2 linked regions of the Daphnia pulex genome follow. The protein of the gene in region 2 interacts with the protein of the main gene of each other region in a pairwise test. Links are inferred from orthologs where the notes say so. Each region holds a gene or a part of one and is shown on either strand. Other genes may lie near its edges.

Evidence for each region.
Region 1: the proteins of carbohydrate-responsive element-binding protein-like (region 2) and max-like protein X interact in binary tests that used the Caenorhabditis elegans proteins (3 or more experiments, as listed by UniProt). The link is inferred for Daphnia pulex from reciprocal best matches to the Caenorhabditis elegans genes mml-1 and mxl-2.

Annotation. Positions count from the first base shown.
Region 1 is NC_060026.1:14,951,667-14,961,209, forward strand, and holds max-like protein X, read left to right. Parts: upstream 1-4,730; 5' UTR 4,731-4,847; coding exon 4,848-4,875; intron 4,876-4,938; coding exon 4,939-5,085; intron 5,086-5,155; coding exon 5,156-5,367; intron 5,368-5,433; coding exon 5,434-5,601; intron 5,602-5,668; coding exon 5,669-5,785; intron 5,786-5,847; coding exon 5,848-5,904; 3' UTR 5,905-6,139; downstream 6,140-9,543. Other genes in the region: uncharacterized protein LOC124204377, read right to left, coding at 1-70, 155-302, 371-685, 761-847, 914-1,133; 3-hydroxyisobutyrate dehydrogenase, mitochondrial-like, read right to left, coding at 3,078-3,396, 3,462-3,672, 3,736-3,857, 3,920-4,098, 4,169-4,260, 4,437-4,512; pyruvate dehydrogenase (acetyl-transferring) kinase, mitochondrial-like, read left to right, coding at 7,000-7,111, 7,523-7,733, 7,814-7,998, 8,071-8,232, 8,289-8,467, 8,531-8,645, 8,710-8,999. UniProt on the Caenorhabditis elegans protein: Transcription factor. Binds to the E box motif 5'-CACGTG-3', probably in a heterodimeric complex with mml-1.
Region 2 is NC_060023.1:7,797,327-7,806,528, reverse strand, and holds the end of carbohydrate-responsive element-binding protein-like, read left to right. Parts: 5' UTR 1-274; coding exon 275-647; intron 648-749; coding exon 750-909; intron 910-973; coding exon 974-1,080; intron 1,081-1,142; coding exon 1,143-1,216; intron 1,217-1,279; coding exon 1,280-1,405; intron 1,406-1,472; coding exon 1,473-1,650; intron 1,651-1,722; coding exon 1,723-1,818; intron 1,819-1,895; coding exon 1,896-2,320; intron 2,321-2,375; coding exon 2,376-2,567; intron 2,568-2,638; coding exon 2,639-3,081; intron 3,082-3,141; coding exon 3,142-3,361; intron 3,362-3,421; coding exon 3,422-3,605; intron 3,606-3,666; coding exon 3,667-3,766; intron 3,767-3,831; coding exon 3,832-3,955; intron 3,956-4,046; coding exon 4,047-4,176; intron 4,177-4,234; coding exon 4,235-4,374; 3' UTR 4,375-5,043; downstream 5,044-9,202. Other genes in the region: CCAAT/enhancer-binding protein beta-like, read right to left, coding at 5,432-5,977, 6,059-6,229; bromodomain-containing protein 1-like, read right to left, coding at 7,788-7,980, 8,069-8,211, 8,278-9,202. UniProt on the Caenorhabditis elegans protein: Transcription factor that binds to the E box motif 5'-CACGTG-3', probably in a heterodimeric complex with mxl-2.

The sequences.
Region 1 (9,543 bases), on a different chromosome or scaffold from region 2:
CAAGAAGACGTGGTTTGAGCAAACACTTTCAGAATTCGGCTGAGCGATGTTAAATTTCTCAAAATCTAACCTGAATTTTTAAAAATCCCCCAAAAGTGTTAACTCACCACTTGTCAAAATTTAAAAAAAAATTTAAAATTTAAACCGAACTGACCGCAATTGGCAGATGGGTCCGCGCTGCTCCGCGGTCGCCGGATCTAATTTAACAGTGACAACGCAGGAAGAATCAGGATAGATGGTAGTGGGCGATCGCCAGTAGGTGTTGTTGTATTGGACAGTACCACTGCAAGTAGTCAACGTGTCTGTAAATGTATCCAATCAATGTCAAACTGAAACCCACTAAAATATTTGTTTAAAAAAACAATTTTACTTGTGCAACAAACACCTCCGTTTGGGCAAGCTCCACTAGAGATTCCTCTTCTCATATTGCAATTGATTAGTGAAGCGCAATAGCCCAAGTCCCCAGATGCTGCGGTGCAACTGGTAAAGTCTCCTTGGATGAAGCTTCTCATTTGGGACAAACTGTTTTGCGGGTTCCCACCACTGAGAAGTGAGAGTCCGGCCAAAGATATTCCGATTGCTCCGCCGATACCGGTAATTGTAGTCACAAAATCGACGATTACATCGGTAAGTGCGATGCTGTCGGTATCGGACAGCTGTTTGCTTTGAGATTTATTTCCTAAAACTTGAATTGCAATTATTTATTTTAACATCTTTTATTGGGTCCGAAACCGCAAAATATTCAAGGGCAATGAAATACCTTTTAGATTGTTGTTGAGTTTCCATCGATTGCTGATTTTCAGTGGCGATCTCCCGCTGATTACGACCGAATTGTTTGTAACAAATTCTTTTCCACAAAAGATCATCAAGGTTATTGATCGACAGAAAAATTTATGTTATAAGATTTATTTACCTATCAGTGATTTAATGTTCACAGGTACTAGACGGTTGTTTGAAATCAGTTGCCTTGGATAGTAGAGGAATTTGTGATGCCGGAACACGTTTGGCTGTAGAGAATTCGCGTTGAATCGATTGTAATCATCAAGAATGTGATTGTAATCGACGGTTTGCGACGGTATAGGAAACACGAAGATGAAAATCATCCAATTTCGAATAAAGACTGACAATGTCATTTCCTCTAGCGCTAGCAATTATACGAGGGTCTCCTCCTATCAATGCTCAATCACCGTCCGATAGCAGGTCCCTTTTATATTCTCATTCGATTTGATTATTTCAATCTTTCCAATGAACCAGTTTTCTATCGCTCCGCCCTTTACAGATGCTAAAAATAAATCGGTGATGAAAGCGACGGTAAATCTAGTGAGGATGTTATCAGCTAAGCAATTAAAAAGATACACTATAGCTTTTTTATTTCTTTTCTTGAAGATTAATATTCACGGGGTCGTCGTCGGGAATAATAATAATAGACACCGGCATCTGATGTGTCCGTTTGCTCCCATTTGCCGCTGGAAATCGACTCAAAATAAAACTAATAACTGGTGGGGCAATTTGCATTCAGTTTTGGCATTTGAAGCTATAAGAAGCAATTGACCACCCGACCTTACAAGCTGTGAACGTGACTAATTTAAATGAAATGCTATTTCTGTATCAGCAATAAAGGTATTTGCAGCGATTTCAATATGCAAATTAAATCGTTCGAGCACCTTCCGATGAACTCATTTGACTCACTATAGCGGAAACGGAATCTTGAATCGGGTTTTGAGCGGCCTTGCTTCAAATTGGCGCGCCGTAAAAAGGTTAAAAGTTCACAATCAAAATTATTATTTGACTGGCGTATAAGATTACGGATTTGCATTTAACGTCATTAAAAGCTTACAAGGATTCCCCGATAAAACAAGCACATTCGAAAACCCCTTCCTATTTTATTTGACTCGTAGGGTACTTTTACAGTGTATAACAATTTAGGGCCACTTTTATTTTGCACTGACTGGACGAAAACAGGGCTACACAAATTGTTTTTTTATTAACAAGCAATCCACCACTCAACCGCACCAAATCCATGGACCCCACTTTTTTTTCCCATTCCGCTATGGGACCAAGAAATCTGAAATAATTCAGGCATATCCAGTTTTTTACTCCGGATTCACCTGTTTTTGCAGAATTTAAATATTCCCTGCCGTTCGGGAGATATTTAATGTTAAAGTTTGAGTTTTTTCAAATTTTAACAATTTTAGGGGGTCTTTGGCATCGCTTTTTGGGTAAATGCTAACCTTTAAAAACAAACAAATTCAACCAAAAGTTTGCTCGGCCATCCCTTAATACCAATCCAAAAGGAATTTACATTCCGAATTAGATTGGTCGAGTTATTCCCAATCTAGTAAAGTGTAATTTTGACCAGTTTCCCACCCAGCCTAGTCGCCATTATTTATGACTCTCCCTCGCGTTCCTAGCGGATGACAGACGAAGCATACGAGTTCTCTACACCTCGGGCTTCATATTGCCGGCCACTAGACTATATGAAAAGGCCTTCAGTATGTCCCCCGGTCTAAAGTGAAGGCCAGGAAAGCGTAGCTTCGTCTGTCATCCGCTAGGAACGTGAGGGAGAGTAATAAAAAATGGCGACTAGGCTGGGTGGGAAACTGGTCAAAATTACACTTTACTAGATTGGGAATAACTCGACCAATCTAATTCGGAATGTAAATTCCTTTTGGATTGGTATTAAGGGATGGCCGAGCAAACTTTTGGTTAAATTTGTTTGTTTTTAAAGGTTAGCATTTACCCAAAAAGCGATGCCAAAGACCCCCTAAAATTGTTAAAATTTGAAAAACTCAAACTTTAACATTAAATATCTCCCGAACGGCAGGGAATATTTAAATTCTGCAAAAACAGGTGAATCCGGAGTGAAAAACTGGATATGCTTGAATTATTTCAGATTTCTTGGTCCCATAGCGGAATGGGAAAAAAAGTGGGGTCCATGGATTTGGTGCGGTTGAGTGGTGGATTGCTTGTTAAATCATTCACCATTTAATTGCGAATCACAAGCTACGGTGGTAAACTGGGTCACGCAGAGCTATACAACATATAGATTCAACCTCCTCTTTCTAAGTATATCGCTACTAGTTACTATTTTCTGATTTCTGGAGAAATTGGTAGACGGAAGAAAAGTCTTTCTTGGCGTAGCCTCGAACAGTCATCAATCGATAGAGTTGGTGGGCAAGTGATCCCAGCGGGATCGCGGAATTGGAACGAGTCGCTGAATTCTGGGCGAGGCCAAGATCTTTCGTCATTAGGGCCGTTCCGAATCCCCCTTCATAGTTGTTTGAGGCTGGGACGTTTGGCAAGACACCAGGTACTGGATTGTAAATTTCACTGGACCAGGAGCGACCGGAACTTGTGTTGATAATACTGCTCAACAATTTAGGATCCAGTCCCAATCTTAATCAATAGGAAAATAGACGATGGTTATTGTAAGTTTTAATGATTCCCAAGTCGGTAATTACCTAACGCCAAGATTCATGGCTTCAGCTGTTCCAACCATATTGATTGCCAACAACATGTTATTGCAAATTTTGGCGGCTTGGCCCGATCCTACTGGACCGCAGTACACAATGTTTTTACCAACATGCTCTAGTATCGCTCTGGCATTAGGAAACTGTTCTTCAGGTCCTCCAACCATGAAAGTCAAGGTTCCAGCTTTAGCAGCCATCACACCTGCAAATAGCCATGAAAATGATGAATCACAATGATTTCATATTTAAAGTAAAGTTATTATACCTCCAGAAACTGGGGCATCAATGAAAATCATTCCCTTCTTTTCAGCTAGAGCTGCCATTTCTTTAGAGACACTGGGATCTATGGTACTGCTGTCAATCAGTAAAGATCCTGGCTTTGCCGTCCTTTATACATGATTCAGAGTTATTTTAAGAAGTCCTGCAGTATTTATCTGTTTAAATATTACTGGAAGACACCATTTTCTCCCGCATATGCTTCTTGTACATGGCCGCTGTTTGGCAACATGGTAATGATGGTATCTGATTTTTCTGCCACTTCGGCAGGGTTATGGCCAACTGATGCTCCTGCATCTTGTAGTTTTGACATAGCCTCTGGATACACATCAAATACAGTTACAGAGTTGCCCTGAAATGAAAAACAACAACAATGAGGAATGTGGAATTAATGAAACTACATAGTACAACAATAGCAATACCTTGTTTAATAAATTCAAGGCCATAGGTCCGCCCATGTTCCCGAGTCCAATAAAGCCAACCCGTTTGCCCGATCCATGATGGACTGTTGAACCTATTATTATTTCAAAAATACATTATTCGCAACACCATTCCTTAAAAATGTAACCAAATATACGCACTAGCAACTACATGGTAATAAAAACCCTTTAAGATTCGATAGCTAAGTAGGCTTAATGTATTTTTATCGAGTACTAAAGTGCAGAGGAAATGATGGAAAATAAAACTTACACGAAAATGAACGGTGTTTCCCGATTACTTTGATTAATACTGCGGCATTCCGGGTTACATTCGTTAACGCAGCCATCGTCTTCTGCTTGTTTTTAGTGAATGGAATTTGTATGGGGAAGTTGGTCGTCTGTTTACACCATTTTCCAGCGCCCTCTATACTGGCATACAAATTTAGAAAAACGTAATCTCATTACATCTCTCTTATTTCAGAAAAGAAAACCAAGAAATTCTCTGGAGGAATTACTCAAAATTATTGAAAAAAGTTTTTTTTGCGTAATTTTGGGCTTACGTGCCGATATCTAATTTACCGACAGGTGGCGTGTGACGGATAGCAACAAAGATTGTTGTTCGAAGATAAACATATACGAGTGTTAACCTTCACAGAGAGATCTTGTTTGCTTTACATTTACAATGGACCACAGAAGCCATATGACATTAAGTATATATTTCATATAAATAGCCTACCAAATTTATGTGCATTGACGTTTTACGCATTTTGTAGTTGGTGCCGAAAGTCGGCTGAGTTTCGACGGAAAAACAGAACCTTCAAGTCCAATAGATAAAATTGGAATTGGTGACAAGACCCCGTTTTCCCGTTGTAGTAGTACCAGCAGCATTCACACTCTTTCTTCCTCTGCACAAAATACAGGTAGTTAACCAATTGATGGAATAGTTCGAATCACTTCTAAAGTTGTGTTTTTTTGTTTATAATTTTATAGATGATGAAGACAGTGATTGTAAAAGCACAAAAAGTTACAAGGAGAGAAGACGAGAGGCCCATACTCAGGCAGAGCAAAAGAGACGGGATGCTATCAAGAAAGGTTACAGCTCTCTGCAGGATCTAGTACCAACATGTCAGCAACAAGATCCAATCAGTGGATATAAACTGAGTAAAGCAACAGTTCTTCAACGATCAATTGATTACATTCAGGTAAATTAGCCGCATGCATTCGACATCCTACCTTGAATAATGGTGTGGTTGCATGGGGTTTTATAGTTCCTCCAGCAACAGAAAAAGAAGCAGGAAGAAGAACTATCAGCCTTAAGAAAAGAGGTAATTGGTCTCCAGATCATGAAAAGTAACTATGACCAAATTGTGAAGGCAAACCAGACTCAGGCTGGACAATCTGAGAATAGAGTACCTGATGAAATGAAATTCCAATTGGTAATTCATTTTTAAAAAATCAGTCAGACTTTATGTTTGTTACTTTTGTTTTATCTCTGTTTTACAGTTCCAAACTATAATGGAAAATCTTTTCCTGACATTTGATTCCATGGTCTCTGCTGCAAGCTTTGTTGACCTGTCGAGTAATGTCTTTTCCTGGGTTGAGGAGCATTGCAAACCACAGGTTCAAGTGTGCATTGGTCATATTTCTATTACACTTCTGATAATATTTTGTGTGGGCTGCAGAGTTTGAAAAACTTGGCAGTGAGTGTACTTCAGACGCTCGTGACTGGGTCCAATTGAGTCCAGCCGATTAGGATAAACACCATGAACCAGCTTGTCAATATGCCACACAACTTCCGATCATTATTGCCGTAATCCCAGCACTTTGCGCCAGAGATCGCTGGGAAAATATTACACGTCCTCAAGGGGCTTATGCGAGAAACCGCCAAAGAAATTTCTAAACTCAACCGATTGCAATGTTTTAGTCTGTGTAAAGTTGTGTTATTATCCGGAATAGAATTTATATCGTACTTTCGATTGCGATGTATGATATTTTTCATCGTTAAACCACCGTGTTCATTATATAATATTTAAACGTTTTCGTACGCCATCTACGCCATCTAGTAATAGATTTCGAAAAATGTGCCTTCAGGCTATTTTGATCCAAGTGAAAATGAAAATAGAGGTCGCTTACTCGACACAATTTCGTCTGCATTCACCAGCGTAGCACCGAGTGAGTTGAGAGTGTCTGTTGTTTTTAGTTGCACTTTGGACGGTCAAATGTGCGAGATGCAAAGTTGTTTTTCCACCTAATAAAGTCTAGTCTCTACCTGTATACAATCTACTCGACTGGATACTTCACCTTTCAATCTTTGGGTGTTTGTGCAGTTTGATTTTTTCAAAAGCTCTCTCGATCGACAATTGCGTCTACCGTCAACAAAGGTTGGTGAAATCGTTTAGAATCGTTTTGAGTTTCTTTTCGAAAGTTTTGCTGTACACATTCTTTGACTTTTTCTATTGTGTTTAATGTTGTAAGCCAAGTTGAACCACCTGATTTCATCTGCCATCGCATAGCCCCACAAAGACAACAATTTGATATACCAGAGGCTAAATTAATTGCTCTAGGCCTGACGTCACGTACACCCTCACGTACACCCTCCTCAACCACCCCAATTAATTTTCTTTTTGTGTGTAACACGGCTTCCTTTAGTTTGGGTTGATGACGTCGTCAATTCAAAAAATATAAACCTAAATTCTTTCAAGTACTAGGAATCTATGTGGGGGGTTCGAGATAATATGTCCGTGTCATGTTTTGTTGGCATTTCGACGTCGAATAAATCTAAAGAATGTCTTTTTAATTTTAAATTTTCTTTAGACATTATCTGCTTATAAGAAATGAGGCTCACGGCCCTCACTGCCAGCAACGTCCGTAACCTGTCGCGGATGCTGGATCATTATTCCCATTTCAATCCGTCTCCATTGTCCGTCAAGCAGTTTATCGATTTCGGTAAGCCACAAGGAAAAAATAATATAACTTTTTATCAATGTTCTATTTGCTAGTCTCCAAAAATATTTGGACTCGTATACGGACTATCTAGAAGGTCAAACGGCTGACTTGTTTGTTTGTTTGTTTACCCGAGTTGAAAGGTTTCTTATATTGGGAAAGCTTTGTAAGTTGTTTTGAATCAAGTCGAGAAATATCTAGCCGGTAAACAACAACAGGTTTTTAAATAAAACCGGGTTATGTGTGTAGTATATTTGCCATTTTTGTTTTGGTTTTTCTGGACGTGAGCCCAACACGTCATCGTGACTTGCACACACGTACGGGAGTCCCAAAACAAAAATAAAAAGCTCTACATTTAGTATTTTTGTGTGTCTGGACTTATATTTTGTTGGTCCCTTTCATTTGAAAATGTAGGTCGCAGCGCAAATGAAGTCCGATCGTTTGAGTTTCTGCGCAAAGAGATACCCGTTCGCCTTGCCAACATTATGCAAGAGATCAATCTCTTGCCACAGAATCTACTGAGAATGCCCTCCGTTCATTTGGTCCACAACTGGTATGTCAAGAGTTTCAAAGAAATTCTCGAGTTTGAAGATATCAAAAGCGTCGACAACAAAAAACTTAACGAGTTGGTGACAATCTCTCTTGATTTGTTATAAAAATATTTCATTTAATTTTTTTTCTTTATCTGTTCAAACAAAAATTTAGATTCTGCGAGGCTTTGATCAAGATTAGAAATCGTCACGCCGATGTCGTGCCGACCATGGCCAAAGGTGTGATTGAATTGCGTGAATCGCATCCGGTCGACCAGACGATTGAACATCGAATTCATTATTTTCTCGATCGTTTCTACATGTCCAGGATCGGCATCCGCATGCTCATCAATCAACACAGTAAAGACAAAAAATATTTCACAAAAATTTCCAGTTTGAATTTAAATTTAAATTTTTGACTTTCAATTGCAGCGCTGCTGTTTGGTGGACAAATGAACAACACCCGACATATCGGCTGCATCGATCCCAATTGCGACGTCCAGTCTGTGGTGCGCGATGCCTATGAAAACGCCAAATTCCTTTGCGATCAGTATTACCTGGCCTCTCCCGATTTGGAAGTCAAAGAACATAATAGTATAAAAACACCTTTTAACATATTTTCAGCAATTGAATTGAATTATTCTTTGCAGACTTGGAGCCTGGTATTCCCATTCAGATCGTTTATGTACCGTCACACCTCTACCACACATTGTTTGAATTGTTCAAGAACGCCATGAGAGCCGTGGTTGAACATCACGGTGCTGCCGCTCGAGATTATCCACCAGTTCAGGTGCTGGTCATTCGAGGGAAAGAAGATGTTACCATTAAGGTTAAAATTTAGATTCATTCCCATCAAGAGAAATGGAATGTTTAATTTTTTGTTTTTGGATAGGTCTCTGATAGAGGTGGAGGTGTCACTCGATCAGACATGAAGAACCTCTTCCATTACATGTACTCCACCGCTCCGCAACCGTCGCTGTCGGATACGGATTCCGCTCCCCTGGCCGGTAAATTTCAATTGACAGAATTGACAATTTTTGATATTTGACCTTTGGAATTTTTTGGGATCAGGTTACGGTTACGGTTTGCCGCTGTCACGTTTGTATGCTCGCTATCTGCTGGGCGATCTGACTCTGACGTCATGCGAGGGCTATGGCACGGATGCCTACGTCTTTCTCAAGGCCATCAGCGAGGAGGCCAACGAAATGTTGCCCGTTTTCAATCACAGCTCCACCCGTCAGTACAGCTCACCTTTGCCCACTCGCGATTGGGTCAGCTTCGGTGGCGGCTCGGCCTCATCGCCCGCCAGAGTCCGTCACCTGTCCACCAAGGTCCCAGGCCCATTCGATTCAATAGTATAGTGCAATTCGGGGCCAACACACACAGCTAAAATTACCCAATTACCTATCAATACCAGAATTTTGGTAAAATAATACCAAATATTACAACAAAAAATGAGCTAAGATTTACTATCATAATGGCCAGCATGTTTTAAAATAGATTTAATTTGAAAAGAAAAATTATAATATCTACCTAAACACCATTGAAACGGTAGGAGAAAATGATTTAGAGAATCCACCGGGGTTTTTATTCTTTTAAATGTTTTATTCATTTTAATTTTTTGTAGAATTATCAATCTCATTTGAATGTTGAAATGGTTTTTAGTGGCCATTTATATTAAGATTTTCATTTGTCATCAAACGATATTGCTCGGCGAAAGGGTAAATGATCAGTTAATCTTGTGATGGACCCCCCAGTGTTTTGTTATTATCACGGAGAAGAGTCTTGCCACACTTTCATATCCGCATTGTCGTTGTCAAGTAAACCACAAGGATTAATCGCGTACAACTTTACATTGGCAACCCACATACTCCTTTGGGTCCCTTTTTTTATTTTTTGAATTAA
Region 2 (9,202 bases):
GTTACCGATACAAGATGGCGCGCGAAGTGCATTGCTTTTCAGCAGTTAACAAAAGTTAACGACGAACTTTTCAGTGCTTTATCATAACTTCGCTGATCAGAGACTAATGGCCTCCAGTCCAGTTCGATGGATCTGGAAAATATTTAGCATGCCTTTATTGGTAGACCTTTGTGTCAACAAAAGTGGACTTTGACTTGGAGAAAGAAAATTATTGTTGTTGTGATCATCTCTAAAGGTCTCCTCAGTTCCTGTAGTGACGAACAAAATCGGGAAAATGACAGGCGGTAACTCTCCAACATCGCAGAGCTCTCAGAATCAATCAAGACAAGCATCCCCGTTACATGCCGGACAGCAGCAACAAATGTGCCAGGATGGCCAACCACAACAACTCAGGAAAAAATCTAAAGAGATCATCCATTCGGGACACTTCATGGTCTCAGATTTTGAAGCTGAAGGAAGGGATGATGATGACGATGAGTTAGCCATCCCTGTGCCTGAAGATGCTGAAGATTCTGCTGTTCTAGTTGGATCAGGTGCAGTAGCCACGATTAATGCAGCTGGTGACCTTGCCGGATCTTGCAGCAATCAAGGATCATGTTCAGTGGCAAGCACAATCTGGCCCAAAAAACCTGACTCCATTTCATCAGGTAAAAATTCACAACATTTTGGTTAAAAAAAATATATTTAAAAAAATCAATACATTTTTTGTAGTTATTTTCCAAATGAATAAATTTGTTGTATATTTTTAGGTTTCACAGCAGATACTGGAAATTGGATTCAGAAGAATATAGGATCAACATTCTCTTGTGAGGATCTTCCAATCCAGACAGCAGAGGATTTGATGGTTCCTGCAGTTACCATAGACCAAAGTCTCACTAAGCTGTTTCAATGCATGACCCTGGCTTATAGGTTTGGTCATTTTCAAGGAGTTATGTAACATGAGTTTATATTAATCAGTAAAACACACTTACAGTTCAAAGCTGACGTCCCCACGCTGGAAAAACTTTAAGGGATTACGCCTACAGTGGAAAGATAAAATTCGTCTCAACAACTTGATTTGGCGTTGCTGGCACATGCAGTGTACGACTTTCTATACTTGGCATTTGAAATTATTATTAAATAAAAACTTTCCTTTTCAACAGTTATTGAAAGAAGAAACACAGCTGTGTGTCAGTTTGCTTCCCCTCTAGAAGTGGACCAACACAACAAACCTGAGGTAATATTTCCTTTCACATTTAAAATTTCACTGTTTAATAAATAATTGGTTATTCCTATATAGGCCGTCGTACTTGAGGGTAAATATTGGAAGCGTCGATTAGCGACCGTCACCGCTGAATACAAAAAGTGGCGAATCTTTTTCAAAAATCAAATGATGGGTCGTGCATCCAAAGATCTCAACGATATCGTGAGTCTTATACAATTTATTCATGGATAGTTGGTGAGAAAGCTTTAATCCAATTTTATCCCACCAGACCATGTGCGGGGAATTCGATCACTTAGATTGGTTTGCTCCGCGGAGCAACGGCAGTTTTAACTCAGGGACGGGTTCCCTCGCATTGGATGATGACCTCTTCATGGACTTTTCTGATACGCTCTTTTCAAGCTTATCATCTAATCAGCCTTTTCCCTTCCCCAATCCCAGAGAAATCGGTATGTAATCTGAAATTTTTAAAATATTGTATGGTGTAGAATAAATTTGTATTCACTTTTTTTCTTTTTCAGCGAAAGGAGCTGGTCTGGCTGATTTTATTCAACCTGGACTTATCCAGTTGCAACCCAATTTAGACGATTTCATGGATACTTTGGAACCGTTACACGGTTAGTATTTTTTCCCCCACCTGTCACGATATTAATATTTCATCAACAAAATTTTAAACTGTCTTTCAACCATGTAGAATTGCTTTCTGGACGTTTGCCGCCAGTTGAAGAAGAGATTGTCGCTGTGGAGGACAGTATAGCTGGACGAGCATCTGATCAACTTACTCAACGCCGCAACGATTTCCAATCGCATGACCATTCGCCTTATTGTGCCTCAACTTCTACCACTCCAGTCAGTGCCGCAACGATAGTCGTCACATCATCCTCGCCGCAGACTTTGCTCAATTATATGCCGATGGATCAGTCCAATCCGTCTTATTTATCAAATCCACAGTTCGCCAACGCTCATCGATCTTTGACAAGTCAGCAACATTCGCGGCCACAGCAGCAGCAGCAGCAGTATCATCTGCAATCACAGGAACAACTTCAACAGCAGCCGCACCCCAACGAACCCGTTTTCGGCCACCCCACAAAACTTGCCGTGTCACCGTCGTCGTCACAGGTTGACTCGTTTTGCAACTTGTTCGACTAAAACTAAATTAAATTTTCTTGGGTAGAATTCGGGATTCGAGTCCAACGTTAATGTTTCATCAGGAACGTCTCACCAGCTGCAGTCCCATCAAGTTCATTCGCCGGACGGATTCATCGCCTCTGGAGGATTCGATAGTACGAATTCTCATGCTGGGACTTTCCAGCGACAGAATAGCGGAGGTAGCGAGCATGGATTCGTCGTACCAACAGCACAGTTTGTAGGGATCGATATCTATTTCTGATTCTTATCCCAGTTCACTGTTGAGATGTCTTATTTGATATTTATCAGCAAGGAAAACAACGCAGTCGATCAAGAAGTGGGTCGGGAGCCAACACTGCTGGAAACGGCCCTACAGCCATCTCGGCACATGTGACCACTACTGCGCTTAGTGCCAGCCAGCCGGCGATCGGATCGAGTCGAGTTCAACGTAGCAAAGCCAGTGGAAATTCATGCAGCAGTAGTAGCCCAGCTCGCTTATTGAGCAACTCAGCAGGCACTCAAGAGGGCAATTTATCACGTAGCAGTCGCGGTCTTGGACGTCTGCGCTCCAGTTCTGACTTGCAACCTATCATGCCTGTGCCTACGTCAGCAGTTTCGACCCCGGCTACTGTTATACCTCGCACCATTCTTCCCGATAACAGCACTTTGCTGGCTCAGCTGTTGACGAACTCTAATCAAATAGGAGCACCATCAACCACTTTAGTTTTAACTGCCGACCCGTCAGCTTCGCGGTACGCTCAGTAATTGATCTCATTCATCGTCCATTCCCTACAATTAGTTTTGTTTTGCAGGATTCCCATCATTTTCCCACTTCAGAACACTGACTCAACGACAACTAAATTGGAAAAACCGTTAACCTTGTTGCCCACAACTATAAACCTTGAGTATTCCAATGATGGTCGTGCCTACAAGCAGGAGCCGTCCTCGAATGTGACCATGGTGGAAGAGCCAGCAGCAAACCAAACTGCTTCACGCAGCAGAAGTAGCGATGGCGAACGCACTCAGTACAGGGTATGCAAATTGTAAATATTTCAACACATTGGTTGACTAACTGTAGCTATCTGTCAATAGGAGCACCGACGAGTGTGCCACATCAACGCCGAACAGAAGCGTCGCTGCAATATCAAAAACGGTTTCGATACTTTGCAGTCGCTATTACCAGGCGGTGGATCAACGGGTGGATCTGGCAGTGGTCCAGCTGCGTCTAGCCATGGCAAAGCTAGTGACGTTAGCAAAGCCGCCATGCTCCATCGCGGTATATCATAATATCAATATATACAGTATATACAGGAGATATCATATTCGACCTCCATCAGGTGCGGAATACATCCGGCAGCTGCGCCAGGAGAGACAGCAGCAGCAAGAAGAAATGGATCAGTTGAAACAAAATATCGAAACGCTTAATGCGGCCATCAGGTTTGATTTAGGAAATTGTGAGTACATGCAGTTTTTATTAACCCGTTATGATTTGGTTTGACTAGCGGCTGCCAAGCACTCCTACCTGCTAATGGTGCTCCCGTTTCACGCCAGCGTAATAATCGGATGCGAGAAATGTTTGACGAATGGGTCCGAGTTCGAACTCTGCAGAACTGGAAATTCTGGATTGTAATTATTTTTTTTTTATTGACTAAAAAGCTAAATAATTCAATTTAAAAAATCGAATTACGATGTTTGAACTATCTTGTATATTTTCCAGTTTTCGATATTGATCCAACCACTCCTCGAGTCCTATAGTACGGCCCTTTCCGCTGCTACGTACGAAGATCTCTGGCAAAGTGTTTTAAATTGGGTTGACCAGTATTGTTCTCTGATAGCTCTTCGTCCTGGTAAACATTTTTGTTTTGTTTTACCATTTCGTCATAATTATTTATGTTTTGTTTCTAGTGGTATTCAATTCGCTCCGGAACTTGAGTAAAACAACCGACATTATAGCAAATCCGTCTAGATTACCGGCGGAAGCCACCCAAGCTGCCTGCAATCCGGATAGAACTACAACGCCCAACAACCTTCCGTCAACGACATAATCTTCCCCATTCACCACCGTCAAATCTACAATTTTTTCTCCCCTCTGTCGATCCCACAAATTTTCAACAACTTTCATTCCTCGATAAATTGCGAGGAATTTCAAGTTTCATGCGGCCTATGTTCATAATCGATGTAGTCATTATGTAGCAGATGTAGCATAACCCTATTATTATATAGACAGATGGAGATATTTTTTTTCAGTTCGCAATTTTATCTAATAGTGAATTCAGTGAAGGTTTATGACCTAGATTTTTAGTTTAGTTTTTAAGAGTGAGAGATGTAATCCAGAGTCATAGTGGAAAAAAGGCTAAGAAAAAAAAAACGAAAGAAATAATTTAAAAAAAGACGGAATAGTTTGTATTTGTCATGGTAGATTGTAAATTGATTTTTGGGTGGCTGTTATTTTGGGTTTTGTCCTACCGTTTTGCCCCTAACTTCTGTATCACAGGCGGCTCAAAAAAATATTTTTTTTTTGCTAACTCTTTAAATACGATATGTTAGAACAGCCTGATTTATTTTTATTACAGTTTTTTCCCACCTGCCTGGTTTGAAAAACAACAAAATACTTCCCCATCTATTAAGTGTTTCATATTTACTCTGCTCCCCCCTCCCCCACACACAATCGAACTTGGAAAAAACAATTGAAATACATGTTTGTTTTATTGTTACTCTTTTGCATCTTGGGAAGTACAAAGGATGCATGAATTCTATGATGTACAAAACATTTCGCTGAATCCGTAGATCGCACGTGGGTTGTTTTGTCGTTTTTATTTGAAAATAAATCGGTCAAGAGCATAGTTGAATGTAACTTCTATCTGAGATGATTCAATCATGTAAAAAATTTGTCAAATGTTGAACACAATCCACAAGAAAAGTATTACATTAACAATATTAAGACAACTTTGTATAAGATACTATATACAACGATGGAAATATAAAGGTTTCGTGGCACACATTGGTGAATCTTTTTCTTTGTTTTAAATTATTATAATAGTTAAGTGTTTTGTTTGATTGCGATTTGAGGGAATACAAAAGGAGTGCGTGGGCTGTGGGGGGTTATCTGTGGCTCTGGAGACGGGCAAAGGCGCTGGTGACTTGCACTTTAATTGGATCGGGAATGTCGTTGAATTTGGAGAAGAGCCCGTGCAGAAACTGGATCTCTTTTGACAGCTGCTCTACACGTCTCTCAAGTCTCTCCTTATCGGCCGACAGGACCGTGACACGTTGAGCCACTATGCGTGACTCGGCTTTGGCCTTCTCGCGGGATTTCTTCACGGCGATGTTGTTGAGAGTCCTTCGTCGTTTGTATTCGTCGCTATCTTTGCTGACGTTCTTGCCGCCCGATTTGAACCGACGACTTGTCGAGGCCGAGCTGCTCGTGGTCGAACGTCCGGCAGGGCTGGAAACGGCAGTGCCGTAAGGGCTGGGCATCATTGCCGACGTGTAGTCACTGGCGTCGGTCAAAGTGCTAGGTAGACAACGGCTGTCTTCATCCTCTTGCAAATGAGCTATCTCGCGTTTCACCATCGGCTGCGGCTGATAAGAGCCGGAATGCGATAAGTAATCGGCGACGCTTCCGATGTTTGAGTCTATCATTGCCTGCTTCAACACGGAAAATAAAACAAATGACACGATAAGTATGGCGTTCGTGAAATAATTGTTGGTGATTCTATGCGACAATACCTCGAGATCCATAGAAGTTTCCGCAACCTCCAGAGTTTCTGGATAATAATCGTAATGATCGGCAAATGGGATGATTTCGCCACTCATTGGCGGATGATCGTAGTCCAATAGGTGACCCTCAAGTTTCCCGCTGGTGGTGATGTCGAAGAATTCGGAATCAAAAAAAGACATACCGCGAACGGCTTTTGGTTTGTTGGGTGAATTGGTATACAGACGGGGGCTAAACTTTCACTGTGTAACAACAACTTGTGCGTTCGAGAATGATCTTTGGATTTGCACTGATCACCTCGACTTGTGTGTACGTGTCTGCTCTTGGCGGAGTCGCTAGAAAGAATGATGAAATCATGAAACGCACTGCGCTATTATACCGAGGGCCCGGGGACTGGAAACGCAATTTGGCTCCGCCCCTCCGGACGTGGTGCAATCGTCGAATGACTCGGCATGGCGGCGGTTGGTACGGCGTATAGTGACGTCACTGCTCCGGGGAAATCCCTAATAAGAAAATAAAAAAGCTGGGGAAAACCAAAGTCAACCATACTTCTACTACTCCCAGTTGGAACTAGTTTGAGGCGGAATGCTGGAAAAAACACTGACTCGTCAGCAAAAATGCAAATCAACGAGGGGCAAAGTGAAATTTTCTCTGCTGGCCGTGGAGGTCATTTGAATAAATACACACGCACAAAAAGTAGTGATGTCAATGTAATGTCATCCACTTCGTGTGCAAGCGATAAGCCCCGATTCTGGACGTCAACGTGACTAATGCTTGCCGATAACGCGTGCATATCAACCGACGACCCTGATTTCGTCTCCTCGTTTCCTTTTTAATTAACGAAATATTATCGAAATTTTGTCAAGGATCCGTCTCAAGTAGAATCGTGCGCACATGTGCATGAAGGCATCAAGTCTATCTTGGAAAAATAACCTATGTCGTGGTTGTTTTTTAATTTGTTTTCTGTGGAAAAGGGTGATTCACGTGTTGAGAACAAACACACAAAAAAAAAACAAGAGTTGACCGATTTGTGGTTTCTTTTTTATATTTTCCCGTCCGGGTTTCGTGACGTCAAACGAGAACTCGCTGACGTCATAGAACGCAGGTTTCTAGAAAATCTACGCACATGCGCAGGCAGGATGACGTCGGCCAATCACAAACCAGTTTCGGCGGAAATGGGCGGAGTCATTCGCATCGGAATGTTATCGTTCAACAGAAAAAAGCAGACCGAAAGCAAACAAAATAATATAAAGTCTAATCCTCATAAGTCATTTTAACCGTCGTCGCTTTGTTATAATATGCGCAGCTGAATTCGGTTGAAAGATAATAACGACTACGACGTCCTACTAAAAAACATCGACATTTTTTTGTTGGTGGTTTGATATCTGTTGCTATATGCTTGCATGTCGACTTGGTTGATCAAAACCGGTTCAAACTGCTTGGGAAAACCGAAAATACAGCAAGTCCGGGCAAGTTCTGAAACAATAACCCGTTCGAATCAAGAAAAATTACCATATTCCACTGGGACTTTCTAATAGTGTCAATTTTATATTTTTAAAATTTAAAATAGGGAGATTTGATTATTCGATTTCATTTCAATCTTTCGTTTTTTTTATTTAAAAAAATGAGTTTGCATCAATGAGAACACACGTGTTTGAAATACTCGCATGAAATGGAGCAAAGCGAGATGGGTTATCAAACAAAGAATTTTATGAAGGTTAAAAATAAGAAAATAAACGTTCAGTGACTCGAATCGGAATCTTCGGATAGGGCACTGCTTTGCCCAGCCACTCTACACTGGTGCAAAATAGCCTCTTCGAAAGCTTTCTTGACGGCCTTACGTTCCGTCTGCTTCTTGGATTCAATCAGTTTCGCTTTATCACGATCAGGATCCACTCCAAGTGGCTCCAACTTATCTCTGGGCAACCATTGCCTGTAATCAACAACAAATTCAGCCATTATCACAATTGCGTCTGGTGTAAAGAATTAAGCTGTGGCAAATAAAACTAACGAATACTAACCAAGTCCGTTTGGCATCGAAGAATAAAACCAGAAAGGCTGGTGGTTGAACTCCAGCTCCCATTAAGAGAACTTCTTCGGGTGGTATGGCGATGGGGACTCCATTATGTACATAACCACTCCTGGGCCAGGAAGGATCGACAATCTAATGGAAAATGTAGACCTCGAATTAGAACTAATTCAGTACCAAATCCTAGAAATACGTTTTTACCAGAGCTGGATACCAGGGATAACCTCGACACTTCGCCCAAACGAGATCAAGTGGCTGTAGTGGAATCAAATTACAAGGCAAAAGTGAAGTAGAACTATGCTGATGTCGAGGAGGAGATGCTGAACTATCGTCACTTGACTGGCGATCAGATTCATCGCCAGAATCCGAATCACTACTGCTACTGCTTCCACTGCTGCTCCCTTCACTCCCAGACGATTCACTCGATCCTCGATGTGAATCCTCTTCGTCGTCTAATCTGTTGGTGCGATAAACTTTGAAACTTTCACTCTCAATGTTGGGAAGGTGAATAGCTCCAGGCTGCTGAACCGAAGCAAATAGCTTGTCACTTTCTGGATGCTTTTGCTTCTTCCTTTTGTTTAGATCCGTAGCTGCAACTGCAGCTGCCACAAATAAATTGGTGGATGCACTGGTGTTGGTGCCACTGGGTCCTGGTTGAGAAGTACTATTTTCTGAAACTTTTCGCGGCCTTCCACCTGCCCGTCTAGGTGGCGAAGTGCTTCCGGATGGTTCAGGCTTCTTGAAAGCCGCTGCGGCAGCTGCTTTCTTGGTGAAAAGCACCGCTGTTCGTCTATTGACACCCGATGGAGACCCAGTCAGCTGTTGCGGATTCACGGAGCTGATTTTTACTGGAGTTACTGGAACTGGAGGAACGATCGTCTCCAATTCCGGCGTTACTGGCACTGCTGCTACTGGAATTGCCGCAACGGCAACAGGGGTCGATGCGATAGATGTAGATGCCGGAGTAGAATTACGTTTCAGGACTTTAGCAACTAATCGATTCTTATTTGTAATGGATGGCGTGCTCTTTTCATCCGAATCCGTTTTGGGCGTTCGGGTGATAAAGTGATCAATCTTTAGTTGACGGGCGGCCGCTACGGATCGAGGCGAAGCCTTGACTGGAGGA